Linked DNA regions of Notamacropus eugenii. The main gene of each other region encodes a partner of the protein of the gene in region 2 in a complex. Links are inferred from orthologs where the notes say so. Each region holds a gene or a part of one and is shown on either strand. Other genes may lie near its edges.

The links. The genes of interacting proteins can lie anywhere in the genome.
Region 1: the proteins of CFAP36 (region 2) and ARL3 are in contact, whole or in part, in a crystal structure (PDB 4ZI3), measured with the Mus musculus proteins. The link is inferred for Notamacropus eugenii from reciprocal best matches to the Homo sapiens genes CFAP36 and ARL3. Residues at the interface, in NP_080016.1 of Mus musculus: Glu44, Glu45, Ser46, Lys47, Leu48, Thr51, Glu52, Lys58, Val61, Glu62, Leu65, Glu76, Phe79, Gln80, Cys83, Thr84, Ala88, Lys89, Leu97, Val100, Leu101, Ala103, Glu104, Asp105, Phe106, Thr107, Ile108; in NP_062692.1 of Mus musculus: Leu3, Leu4, Ile6, Leu7, Arg8, Lys9, Leu10, Lys11, Ser12, Arg19, Lys35, Glu40, Pro47, Thr48, Gln49, Gly50, Phe51, Asn52, Ile53, Lys54, Trp66, Ile74, Tyr77, Ser80, Tyr81.

What each region holds. Positions count from the first base shown.
Region 1 is NC_092872.1:180,917,639-180,924,870, reverse strand, and holds the start of ARL3 (ADP-ribosylation factor-like protein 3), read left to right. Parts: upstream 1-4,213; 5' UTR 4,214-4,562; coding exon 4,563-4,565; intron 4,566-7,232. UniProt on the Homo sapiens protein: Small GTP-binding protein which cycles between an inactive GDP-bound and an active GTP-bound form, and the rate of cycling is regulated by guanine nucleotide exchange factors (GEF) and GTPase-activating proteins (GAP).
Region 2 is NC_092872.1:650,732,701-650,739,788, reverse strand, and holds the start of CFAP36 (cilia- and flagella-associated protein 36), read left to right. Parts: upstream 1-4,069; 5' UTR 4,070-4,401; coding exon 4,402-4,516; intron 4,517-7,088. UniProt on the Homo sapiens protein: May act as an effector for ARL3.

The DNA.
Region 1 (7,232 bases), about 470 Mb from region 2:
GGGCTGGGGGTAGCGGTTAAGCAGTCACTGACAGGCTTGCAGTTCATTTTAAACTCTACAAAGGACAAGGGGCATAGCTATAGGCTCTGTACTTCCTTGAGGAAGTTCTGACACTGCTTACGCTGGGTTTGAAGAGCTTGCTGGAGATGAGACTGGCTCTCCTAGTACAACTCTGACTGTAGGAGAGATAGGGGAGACACTGCCTACAGTTAGCAGCCTGTTCTGATGGAAGGTAAATTATATTAAAAATGGGACTTTTCTACTTGTCTGCTATATTTAACTATTGGAAGGAAAGCAGTGCTGTTGACTCATTCATAAATAAATTAATTCATTTGTGGTTTAAAAAAAAGGGAGGGGTTTCTATGTATCTACTCTTCACCACCAACATGGAGGTGCATTACTCGAAGACTGTGACCCAGGTTTATTGGTGGACTATAATGCTGTGATTATCCTTGCATTTACCTCATACTGAATAACATGGATTTTATAATTATTCTTGCTTTTGCTTCATCATTAAATATGTTTTATATTCAAGAATCAGTAATGTAATACAGACTGATTCCCTATAAACAGGAAGCACAACAATGGGGGCTCAGGAACTACTGTGGTTAGTAGAAGGGCTACAGCAGCTCACAAAAGGTGATTCCTAGGACCTGGAGGGAGTTTTTGAGTCAGCTGTGGCACCTCACTCTCTGAGAATCTCAGACCTGTCTGCGTGAGGATTGGTTGGAATGAACAAGCCAGTCTAGGGAATTATAATGGGGCATTGCCAGGGCCAGGTTCTACATTTATGTACATAACGTAGACCCCTATTAGAACGTAAGCTCCTTGAAATCAGTTATTGTTTTATTCTTTGTAATTATATTCCTATTACATACCAAAATGCCAGGCCCATAAAAGGCACTTAATAATGTTTGTTGATTGACTGAGGGTGAAATCCTGATCCCAAGCAAGATCTCAGTTGGAGTGGTGGTCAGGAAAGACAGTTTGAGCCTTGCTGCTAACCCAAGGGAACGATATTTACACAGATGGTACTCAGTTATCTAGCTTGGATAAGGAAAAAATGAGACAAATGACTTACTAATTAACTCTTCCCACCTCACAGACCCAAAAGAATCATTCTTCCTCCCCTTAGAAATATACAATATTAGAACTGGAAGGAACCTTGGAGTTCAATGCCCTCATTTTACAGAGGTAGAAAGTGAAATCCACAGAAGGAACTGACTTGTCCAAGGTCAGACAGCCAAGTGATCTAGAACCCAGATCTCCAGGTCCCTAGTTCAGTGTTCTTTTCCACTATACTTCAATGCCATCTTCTTTAATGCAACATTTCTCCTTGAAAGAAAGTGCTGCTGTACGACTGCAAACAGTCCTGAGAGGTAGTAGCATTTCGCTATCAAGTTTTTGGAGATCCTTCTGTTGGACAGAAAAAATACAGATAATTTTCTCCTTTCCTAAGAACTTTACCCTCACAGCCTTACTCTCTAGGCAAGCAAGAAAGGAAGGCATATAATCCTTGGGTAGGAAGGAGGTACAAAGGGCTCTAATGGCTCACCATCAATCCCTTGCTGGGGGTCAATGACTAACTACTAGTCTGCACTTCTTTTTGAACAAAAAACATCTGGATGTTAGGGTTTGCCCAAACAACCTCAAAAATGGGAAATATGAAGCTATTAATTCATCCTCATGCTTACACCCACCAACTCTGGTAAACAAAATGTTAACATTTAGGGTGTTTTGAAACAGAAATTTCCATTATCTCTTTGGCACAAGAGTCAGTAGTCTGGAGACCACTAGGCAGCAGTTGAGGATTGTCTGGAATTTTGGCTGATAAACCACTTCAGCATATACTACAGGAGGATATGTCTTGTCTGCCAATTGAAGAGTCCTGTAAGGTAGAAACCAATGTTTGAAACCATTATGCACAGATAATAACACCTCTGCTGCTGTCAACCATCTGGCCAACCTCTACCAATAAGCCTCCTGATCCTACTTGACCCTAGATATCTAGTTTAACTGAGGAAGATGCTACTCTTTCCAAACATGAGCTCACAAAGGATAAATAGGTGCTAAGTGTTTTGTTTTCTGCAGTAACAGAAAGGGGGGAAGAGAGGCCATCCTTCTTTAGCCTGAGCAGAAAACTGCCCTAGAGGAGAGAGGATACAGCCTGGATGCCATGAAAACTACCCTGACCCTGGCTATGCTGCAACTGCAAGTAGGCCCCCAGGTTGAGCTGGGGGAGTGCATGTTGGAGAGAGCCTGAAACATGACTAGAAGCTGGGCCTGCCTTCCTGCCAGTTTGACTTGAGCTTCTCCTGATGCTTTAAGCCTGGTCTGAACCCTGAAATTAAGTGCCGACAATAAAATTTTCTTGCAATAATAAAAACCATTATGCACCATAAAGCACAGAAGTCTAGTTCTATAAATACACCCAAAATAAACGATTAATTAGTTATCCTGTGGGCAAAGTCCACTGACTCCAGCCAAATCTAAAAGCCTACTGCTATCAAAATCTGGCTCCTGCCTGCCGCCAAAATGAGAGCTAGGAGGGTGACCACTTTTGCCATTTTTTGTAGAAAAGAGGTATAGGTATGGAATACTACATATATTAGGTTTTTACAATACGTTGGGTAGTTTTGCTGAACTTTTTTTTAAAGCATTTTTATTATAAGGGATGATTTTCTAAACAGGGGAAAAGAATACACCAGAAAGCTAGTGATGTAAAAAGAAAATATATCACTAATTTTTTTTAAAGAGGGTGACCCAGAAGAAAATCCTACAAACTCTAAAGACACATAACTTCCTAAAATCTCCAAGCCCAAGCCATCTCTGCTCCTCCAAAGAGACAGCTGTGTGGTTACAGAAAAAAGATACTAATTTGGTGTCAGAAAACATGGGTTCAAATCCGAGCTTGTCCATTACTAGATCTGCTACATGGAACCTGCATCTCAGTCCCTGTTGCTCAGTTTCCTCATCTGAAAATGATACTTGTACTATCTAACTCAACAGGTAATATAAGCATCAAATAAAGTAATTTAAGCTCTTTATGAAGGAGACAGCTAGGGGCTCAGTGGATAGGTCTGGGCCTGGAGTCAGGAAGACCTGAGTTGAAATCCAGCCATAGACACTTACCAGCTATGTGATCCTAGGCAAGTCAACCTCTGTTTACCTTAATCCTATGGAGAAGAAAGTGGCAAATACTCCAGTATCTCTGCAAGAAAACCCCATGGACAGGTACGGCCAGTAGGGTCAGGAAGAATCTGACAACTCTGAACAACAGCCACAAAGCTCTTTGTGAACGTTAAGGTGCTATGCAGATGTCATCAGTTACATTAAAGCTTCAGACTACTTAGAAGGAGTATTTCTGAAGTGGCCACATTTTCACTACACGTCCAGGCCCCCTTTCCAAAGAGACAAGAAACAAGATCACGTTGTTCTGGCCCTCCAAGCTGCCCTGGAAGACCCCCACTTTATTCCTGGGATGAGTATTCTAAGGAGGCATCCTGGTCATCATTAGCAGAAGTGTGGCAGCATCTACTGGCTTCCAGGGTAGGTGCTTGGGGACTTGTGGGGACTCCAGAGCATCGTGGCTCCCAGGATCCACGCTCAGGGCACAGTTGCCAGACTTGCCCCCACTGAGACCTCCAAGACACCGCCTCCTGCGACCCAACCTCTAGGGAGATTCAGTTGAGTACAGGCCTCTGAGATGTGGGGGTGGGGCAGTGCATGCGCGGAGGAGGGGCCTCCTCCACCAGTGCCAAAGTGTTCGCACTGGGGGGGAACGGCTGCCTCTTTCTTTTCCTAGGGGCTGCTTGGAAGAGCAGTGCCAGTCTTCCCAACGTGGGGCCCCCCCTTTTCTTTTTTGCCACGTTGACCCTGTGGCAGCCGCAGCACATGGGAACTGAGCCGTTGGCACCACGCTGGGAGTCTGCGCGCCCTGAACCTATCTCCCCTCCTAAAAGCCAGGGGCCCTGGAGCCCGCGGGAAGAGTCAGGCTAGTCCGTGCCGCCCGTCCACCCTCGCCCCTAGGCCGCTCCCCAAAAGCCAAACCTGAAGCCAGGCCAGACGTCGACACAGACAGCGGAAAGCAAAGCGCGCTCACACAGACTGCCGCCCCTCCCAGGAGCGTTCCGCCCCTTCGGCTCCGCCCCCCGCGCCTCCGCTTCCGGACCAATCACAGGAGGGGGCCGTCCCTGGCTGGCCACGTGGGCAACTTTCCATCACCTACTTCCCCCCGCCCTCTCGGGCTTAAAGCAGAAAAAGGAGTACGCCTGCGCAGGAAAGGGCTTGGCCGGACGCTCGGGCTGGATTGCGTCTCTGTGCGCCTGCGCTCTCTTGGGAAGGGACTCGCGGGACCCCTTTCTCCTTCTCTCTCCTCGGTGTCTCCGCCCCAGCCCACTGTGCGTGTAGTGGCGGCGGGACGTCGGGGCGGTGCCCGCGCCGGGGACGGGCGGTGCCGCCGCAGTTGCCCCTGGTAACGGGGGAGGCAGCAGGAGGAGGAGGAGGAGGAGGAGGAGGAGGAGGAGGAGGAGGCGGAGGCAGAGGAGGGAGTCGGCGGGAGGATGGTGAGTGTGGGTGTCTGGGCCGCCCTCGAGCCCCCCCAACCCAGGTCCGCTCTCGGACCCTAGGGCTCAGGCAGGACTCGGGCGGGACGCCCTCAGACCCTTCCCGTCGTGCTGGGAGCGCCCGGGAGCGGCAAGGAGAGCCTGAAACGGGCCGGGTGGGAGGCCTGGGGCCTGAGGGAGGGCAAGGCTTGAAGATGGGGGCCCGGAAAGGGGCTCCGGGCGCGCTCCCCCAGCCGCCCGCGGCCGAGCTCCGCAGGGGTGAGGGCTGTGAAGAGCGATTCTCAGCCGCCCTCCCCTCCTCCTCCCCGGGACCCCGGGGGTTCTGCATGCCTCCATCCGGGAGTGGCGGGAACGCTCCCCCCGCCGGGCTCCGTGTCCACAGGTGCGGGCCCCGGGAAGTGGGGATGGCCCGCTGCGCTTGAGAGGCTTCCTCTGGGGAGAAGCTCTCCCGCTTTGTGATCTGGGGACCTGCCCATCCCAGCCTCCGGGATAACCAGGCCAGAGCCCCAGCTCTGCCTGGGGCCATCACGAATCTGCCCCAGCTGGTCTTAGCCCCATCGAGACTGCCCCCACACACACACACACACGCCTTATTTTTTGAGTTGATCCAACTTAATAGAAGAGCCTAGCCTTGGGGAGAATACCCCGGGCTTCCTTGGGCAAAGGAAAAGGGTAGGTGGACTGGTTATCAGCCTGTGGCACAGGTTCTCACTTATCAGCCCAAACGAGAACTTTTCCCGTATTTTGGACCTCGGATAGTTTGGCCTTTTCTGTTTGGACCCTCGGAATACTTCGTTTGGAGGTGCTTGAGATGTCATTTCGATCTTGTTCCTATCCCAAAAAGTATTCTTAGGCTTCCTGAGGATGCTGGTCAGTTAGTCACTTGAAAGGAAAAATAGTTAGGCTTTGTAGCCTTGAGTGATGCTGAAACTGGAGTTTGAGTTGCTCTCCACTGCTCATTTTTTTTAACCTTTAAAACTATTGGAACATTTCAGTGGTTGAAGGGCTTACAAAAAGCTGGAGCAAAATGAGAAAACTTATCCAGTGTTGGATAAGAGATCAATGACTATAGGAGGAAAAACCAATTGATTGCACATGATCATGATTGCTAAGTATAATAAGTAGAATTATTTTAGCTAATGCTGCCAACCAGATTTTGCACATTCTATGTAACAGTTTTGTTAACCTCAGGCTAAACAGATTTGTGTAAATATTTTTGGTGTTATCTTTTTATTAATCATTTGTTTATGAGCTATTCATTAGAAAGATTTGTCATTAAAGAACACAAATATTTACCCAAAAGTAACTAGAACTGAAGCTAAATAGGCATGTCAGACCAACAGAAGATGAAGATTGTCATCACAGATGATAAATGTATCATCATTGGCTAATATTTACCAGTTTATCCATCAAATGAACGAAATAATTTGGTTTTTTTTTTAAATTGAAGAATATAAATGACAGTAACCACTGGATCTACTTCCAGGTGTAAATTGACTTTCAAGGGTTTTGCTGAATTTTTTCTCATATGTCTGTATACATATATGTATGTATGAAATAATTAGCACAGACATTCCATAGTATATGTGTGGTTTAATTTTTTTGCTTATCTGTGAGAGGGTCTGTTATTGTTACAATAGAATTAAGATCCTTAAGATAGGGCCTGCTTTTTTTTTTGTCGTTGTATCTCAGGGATCTACCGTATTGGATGTCTGGTAAAGACTTAATTGAGCGAAATGGAAAATAAAATGTCAATTTTTTAAACATTTGTAATGTAACTTAATGTGTCAGTTTTCAGAATTCTGTGTTTGGGTTTTTTAGTCACTCGATGTTTTCTGAGATCATTATCTATATCAACTATAAGCTGTTCTTTTACATGTACTCCTATAATTTTACTAGTGTTGAATTTTTTTCTAATGTGGTAGACATATATAGTCTATAGATATAGACTATATGATACATATAGTATTTGCAGTGCTACTATTATAAAAGCAAATCTAATTTCACTTTAAGGCCAGTAAAAGTGGCAAAGCAAACTATAGATACAAGTTACCAACTTCTTGAAATAAAAAGTCCAGCAAACTCTAAAACCTTCAGCTAAGACTCATTATTGATACTTGTTTATTTTAAAAATTGGGCTACTGTAACAAAAAGCCTACTCATTCACTGATAGTTTATTCAAACATTTTAAGCTGTTTATAGTACACATGTATGAAATGACAAGATCACAAGTCATTTTAATCCTAACTTCACATTTTTAACCAGAATTCTTTTGTTCAATCACTTAGTAATTCAAAGCTCTGTAGAAAGTATTGTATTACTGTATTGGTTTTTGATATGTCAGTAGTTTTCAAATGTATTTTGCATTTGAGGATTATTCTAAACCAGAAATGTTTAAAATATAATTTGGAAATATTTAACAAAATAAATAAAAGTACATTAAAACATAGATTATATTTTGAAACCAAGCCAATATGCTTTGGTATCGATGTATAGATTAGTAGTCCCCATTTCCATTTGTGTTTGATGCCACTGTTTTATACTCTTTTTCTATAAAAAAAATTCACTGGATAAAGTACTACAGATCCATTCTTTATGAGGAAAAGTCCATTCCATTGACACTGGCAGAAAGGAACACTGACATCTTTGTCTCCAAGAAAAGCTTAA
Region 2 (7,088 bases):
AGTGTCTAATAGTAGCCTTCTCTAAGACCAGGTAGGGAGGGAGGAAAAAAGAACAAAAGAAAACTTAGAAGCACAGAAAATTAGTGTAGCTTTGAAAAGGATATTTAGTATTTACTATAGAGGGTTTTTTTCAAAGTAAACTGTCAAATGGAAATTCATGGTTCTATACCTAATCCTCTTTATGTTGTACTGCATGTATCAATGGAAATGGTTTTTTTTTGTCTTTTTATGTTTAAGTTCAAAATAAATAAATATTAACAAATAAAAAAACTCATGTAATTATGCATTTGTCAAAGATATTTGTTATGCACAGCAACTTTTTCATTATTAAAATAGGCTTTTTATTTTTATTTTGCTTCAGATTTTCTAGGATTTTCTTCTTTATCCCAGGGACATTCCACAATGGCAAATCAGCAGCTACAGCTCTATCTATGTATTTCAAGCCCTAAAGAAGATGGTTAAATCTAAGAAACAATGGATTAAATCCAGGGTGATTAAATTTTTGTGTGTGTCATAAGTCCCCCTTGTAGTCCAGTGCGTAATGTTTTAAAATGCACAAAATAAAATACACAGGATTACAAAGGAAACCTTATATTGAAATATACACCAAAATATTTACAAATGTAAGTTCACGGATTTCAGGTTAAGGGCCTCTCAACTAGATGATTTTGAAATTACCATTAAATATATTTAATTTAAACAAATGTCACTGAAATTAAGGGGAAAGAAACATGAAATGATACAAGTCTATAGCACGGATGTGTCTAGACAAGGAAGATATAAACCCAAAGAGTAAAAGGTTCAGAAGATAAGACAGACTAAAGAACTGGTATAAAAAGGGAATAAAGGAAGTCTTGGATAGAGTTAAGAGCAATAGCTATAACAAAGAATAAATATCAGAGAATGCTCAGGATTGGGAGAAAAGAAAAAAGGGGGGAGTCCACAACAGCCTGAAAATGATATAATAGGTCTAGTGGGAAGAACAATGGATTTCAAGTGAGAACTCATTGAGGGCAGGGGCTGTTCCATTTTTTTGTGGTTCCGTTCCCAGAACCTAGCAGAGTGCTTTGCACTTAGAGAGTGCTTAATATAAATATGCTTGTTGAATTGTCCAGTTCAGTTGAGAGACCTAGTTTGGAATCATTAACAGTTATATTACTTGAGGTAAATTACTCAGTGTTTCTGGGCCTGTTTCCTTATCTGCAAAAGAGGATAGTAATATCTTCACTACTTAAGTTGGTTGGTTGTAAGGCAATTGTTTTGCAAACCTGAAATCAATGTGAAATATTATTATTTAATTATTAAGCTTTAAAAACCAACCAGCTGGAATTTAGCATTCCTTCTGACTCTAAAATTCTGGTATTCTGTGAACCCTATGCACTAGGTACTAAAGTTACTCTACTCTCATTTTACAGATGAGGAAACTGAGGCTTGGAGAAGTTAAATAAATTGTCCATGACCACCTTTCTATTAAGTGTCTGACATAGGTGCAAACTCTGCATTCCAAATTTAGAATTCTACGCACTAGACTATCCTTTTCCCTTCTGCAATTTAATTTGCACACTTAAGGTTTTTGTATATATTATAGAAAAATTTCTATATTAGAAACAATATTTAGAATGAAAAAATGTGTAACAGTTCTCTGATGCTATTGAGAACAGGTATGCCAGAGACAGGATCCTAAACAGAGTTCCCAAACCTAAGATATCACTGAAGAATTTTAAAATGAGGCAGGTAATCATTTATTTGCCAACCCACAGCAAGTTTCTCCACCCTCTTGCTATTATATAAAACAAGTAATCAAGCGAAACTATTGGCAAGGAACATATAATTTAGGATTTTTTTTTTACTCATTCTATAGCCTAGATAAATGGTAGCTTACAGGATTAAAATAGTTGTCTTATTATTTGTTTATTTAGAAACTGAATTCAGAACACCAAAGGTAGCAATTAACTAGGTCAAAAACAAGCTTTCTGTAGGATTGAGCTTTACATTTTAAAATAATGCTTTTGTTGCCACTGGTATTTTTTAAGATTACCCCTAAGAAAGGGATATTACCTGTCAGATCAAGAATACAGGAAGGGTTTACTATAGTTGGAAGAGGACATGGGGAAGGAACCTGGTTCCGGGCTTAAAGGGAATAGAGTAAGACCATTTCTTATAGAAGAGTTGCATATTTGCCTCAGTGAAAAGCATTTCCATCGAGGGAGTTGCCTGTGCCAACAAAATCACAGTTCTGCTCCAAAAACAAACAAAAAATACCCAGACCAAACTATTATTAAGAGAGTCATGGATAAATAGCTAGGATTTTTTTTTTGTTAGAATTCGTCTGCAACAATACTCTTTTTTCCCCTCTTAAATGTGCATGGGTAACTTTTGTTTTTACATCATCTACATCTCTCAATTTTAATGAAAAATAAAAAATGAAACTGTCAGCTGATATATCCGTAAAACAAACTGACACATCAACCAAGTCAGATACCCCTGGAAAGAAAAGAAGGCATATTCTCATAGCTCTTCTTTGAAGCCAAGGTGGGCCAGGGTTTCAGAGTATTCATTTTTTTTTCACTTGTTTTGTCCAATTACGATGTTGTAGTCAATGAATATATATATAATTTCTGGTTCTACTTCCTTTTCTTTGCATCAGTTCATATAAATCTTTGCATGTTTCTCTGAATGAGTTGTATAAATTTTTTTAAGTTCATGGATAGGAATCTACTTTGTTTCCAGTTTTTTGTTGTTACAAAAAGCGTTGCTAAACATACATTTTGAAGTATAGAGGACACCTTTGACCTCCTCTTAGTATTCGACTAGGAGTGAGATCTCTAGATTAAAGGATATGGAAACATTGTCACTTTTTTTTTTTTAAGCATCATTCTCAATTGCTTTCCAGAATAAACAATTCACGGTTCCCAACAGTGGCTAGTTTGTCCAGTTTGTCCATTTTTCCACAATCCCTCCAATATTGTCTCATAGTATTCTTTTTAAAAATAAAAGATATAGGAATTTAAAGTTGTGGTGGAGGTCTTAGCTATAATGAAAGGCCCTTCACAGAATTTTCTGGGTTTTTGTTTCCAATTCAGCTATCCCTTTGATTGCCTTAACTTTTCAGACTGAAAAATGGGGAAAATCTCCCTTATAAGAATAGAAAGTCATTTTAGAGGTATCTAACTGAAGTGGAAAGAACACTATGCTCCAAATCAGCATTCCTACATTCAGCTCCCATGTTTTTAAGTTAGGCAGGTCACAATAATGCTAGCATTTATACAGTCTTTTAAAGTTTGCAAAGTGCTTTACTTCCCTTATCTCAATGATCCTTACAACAACTCAGTGAGGTAGGTGCTCTTATTTTTTACAGAAAACTAAGGCTGGGATTAAGTGACTTGACAAGCTCAGGCTCTTAAAAAGAATTTGAGGCTAGGTTCAGTAGAAGGTCTTCTTCACTACAACACTTTATCTGTTGTGTCACTTAACCTCCAAGATACTGATACATTTTGTACTGGAGTTGCTTTGAGGAAATACTTTGTAACCCTTTTGAGATCTAAATAAACACGAGATGATGTTAGTGAATGAATATATGAGAAGAAAATGTTGCCAAGTTGCGCCCCTTCAAATACAGAAAGTGCTGCTGGAACACCACACCAGACTGGCAAAAACTCCAAAAAGAGCTAACTCACTTCGGAACACAGCCAGAAGGGTAAAAGGAAAAGCTGATGGAAAGGGAAAATAAGGAACTAGGGGCAGTCCTGTGACTTGAGGTAATGAGACCTCGCTTCGTAAGCGCTGGAATCCTATGTAAACGTTGGCTAGTAAGGTAAAGTTTGAAGTCGGGTTTGCCAAGATTAAGGGAGTCCATAGATTAGGCTGGGCAGTTTGCAGGGTTTATTTTCTCTCCTGGCTGTTACTTTAGTCCTTTAGACGGCCTCCTCTTCCTGCGGCTATTGCTTGGAAATGGGAATCCCCCAAGACATCGCTCCCGTACATGGCGGCGCAGACTTCAAACCCACTTCCACGGGAGAGCTCCTTCTCCAACCTCCCCGACTCAACGCCTGCGCAAAGAGACCTCTGCGCTTTCCTTCGCCGTCTCCCTAGTCCTTCTCCAGCCAATCGAGAGTGTCCTTGCAGTTTCCCTCCGCGCCTGGCGCCGGGACTCCTTTCCTAGCGAACCCTCCCGGGCGGGGGCGGCTACGTACGTTGTCATAGTGACCATTTCAAGTAAACCGGTTTGGGCCCTCCATCCGGGTCTCTGGGGCAGCTCTTCGGCTGGTTCTGGGAAGGTACCCCTCCCCCCCACGCCAACCCAGGGCTCGGTGGGGCAGCCGGATCCGGCCTCGGAGAGCGCGGACTGGGGCGTCTGGGCCCAGAGCTGCCTCTCCCTGGGGTTCGCAGGGTGGGAGGGCCATGGCGGCAGAAGAAGATGAGGAGGTGGAGTGGGTCGTAGAGAGCATCGCAGGCTTCCTCCGCGGCCCTGACTGGTCCATCCCCATCCTGGACTTTCTGGAACAGAAGTGTGAAGGTAAAGGCCGACGCCTTCCCCGCCACTCCCCGGGGCACCCAGACCCCAGAACAGTTCCCCTCCTTTATCCTCTTCTGGCTAAGGGAACGAGGTCGGGCCCACACGTCGGCTACATTTAGGGGTTGTTTTGAAGCTGGTATGACTCCCCCCGAAGCTCCCTCCAAACGTCCTCTCCACCTCCCTTCTCCTCACCCACTTCCACCCCCACCTTCCACACCCTACTGCCCCTCCCCAATTCCATCTCTGTCCCGCCTCCTCACCCCTCTCCACCCCGCCTCTAAACCAGCTCGCACCCGGCTCCCCACTCTCCCCAACTCCATTTTCATCGTCATCCTTTCCTTACCTTTATTCCTATCCGCACCCCACCACCTTCCTCTTCGCACTTCACCTCCACACTCCTCTCCTGGCCTCCTCCCCTCCCCCAAATCCATCCCCACCTCCAACATCCCCTCCTCACACATCTCCCACTCTCCAAGTCTCACTCCCCTAATTTTATCTTCTCCTCCATTCCTGCAGCCTAACTACCCTACTCTCCTACTCTCCATTCCTATCCCTCCATCCTCTATTTCCACTCCCACCTCCTCCCATATTCCCATGCTCATCCAGTGCTTTCCTGATTTCAAAGAAAAAAATGCACAACATAAACATGAAAAGCTTCCCTTCCCCCACTATAACCCTAAATCTCCAGGCTTCTGCCTCAAGAAAAAGTAAAAGCCATAATAAAGGGTACCGAAATGTTTTTAACTGGTTGAAAACTTTACCCCAACAACTAAGTGATGGATGGAGACGCTTTCCTATCCCTCTCTGTCCCCAGAGGGATTCACTGAGCTTAAAGCCGTTTTCTTGGAAGGGAGGATTTGGACTATGCCATGAAATACCTTTTTCTTAAGAAAGGAGCACCTAGGGATGCTCTTGCTCTAAAAGGAATTGAGCCAATCTGTCACCAAGTATTTATTTTTTTTAAATAAATTTAATACTTGTGGAAATGCATGTTGAAAACTAAAATACGTTTAAATCTTAAACAAATGTAATAAAAAGTCTTTTTTTACATCATCATAGTTCTATTATCATTCCCCCTTTCAGAGAACCATTCCATATAACAAATGATATTTTTTAAAAACAAGAAAAGAAAGAGGAAAAAAATTAGTATAACTGATCAGTACATCCCAAAAGTCAGAAAATTGACCCAGTGGGCAATTCTTGTGGATCTTCCATCTCTGCAAAGGAGATATCTCTTCTTTGTAGCTATGCTTCGACAAACCTTCATTAATTACTAATGTCAGTAAGTCAGTCAGATAACATTAAGTGCCTGCTGTGTGCCAGATACAGTGCTAACTTTGGGCATACAAAGAAAGGCAAAACAGTCCTGCTGTCCAGGAGCTTAGTCTAAAGGGATGGGCAAGGAGGAGACAACATACAAAGAGCTTTGTATAAACAGGATACATACAGGGTAAATTGGAGCTGATCTCAAAGGGAAGACACTAAAATTTCCTCACCTGTGAAATGAGATTAAGTTTGATATTAGGAAAGGCTTCTTGCAGAACTTTAGCTGAGATTTTAAAGAAACCAGGGAAGTTAGGAATTGGAGATGAAGAGGGAGAGAGTTCTAAACATGGGGGGCAGACAGTGAAAATGTTCAGTGGGAGATGGAGTGTCTTGTGAAGGTGGTGTCATGTGAGGAACAGCAAGGGGAAACTTGCTGGATTGATTGCAGATTATGGTAGATTGTGATATGTAAGAATGTGGTAGATTGTGAGATGTAAGAAGATTGGCAAGGTAGAATGGGGTCAGGTTATGGACATCTTTAAAAACCCAATTGAGGATTTTCTATTTGATTCTGGAGGCATAGAGAGTTGATTGCATAGAGAGGTGACATGATCAGACCTGCCTTTTAGTTAGATCAGTTTGACAGCTGAGTGGAGGATGACTGGAGTGGGGAGAGACTTGAGGCAAGGAGACCTACCAAAACCAGTTTTATTTCAGTAATCTAGGTGTAAGGTGATAAAGGTCTATGTAGCAGGGTGATTTCAGGGTCAGAAGAGAGAAGGGAGCATATAGGAGCTAGGATTGCAAGACGTGACCATTGATTCCACATGAGGGTGGAAGTATTGGTTTGAGAGAATAAGGAGTTGAAGATGACACCTAATTTAAAAGTCTAGATGATTAAGAGAATGGTGGTACTCTTTGACAGTGGCAGGGAAGTTAGCAAGAAGGGAAGGTTTGAGAGGCAGGGGAAAGAATGGGATCAGTTTTGGACATATTGAGTTTAAGATGTCTCCAAGACATCCTCTTCAAGGTGTCCTAAAAGCATTTGAAAATGTGAGACTGGAGGTCAGGAGAGAGGTTAGGATTAGGACAAATAAATTTTAACATCATCTGCATAGGGATGATAGTTGAATATTTAGGAGCTGATGAGAACACTAAGTGAAGAGTATAGAGGCGGAAGAGAAGACAGCCTTTGCGGATAACCCATTGTCATCTGTGTTGTGTCCTGGATGACGATGCAGAAATCAGGAGAAACATTTGAATATGAAAAACCCAACAGGTACATGGGGGATGCACGTGTTCCATG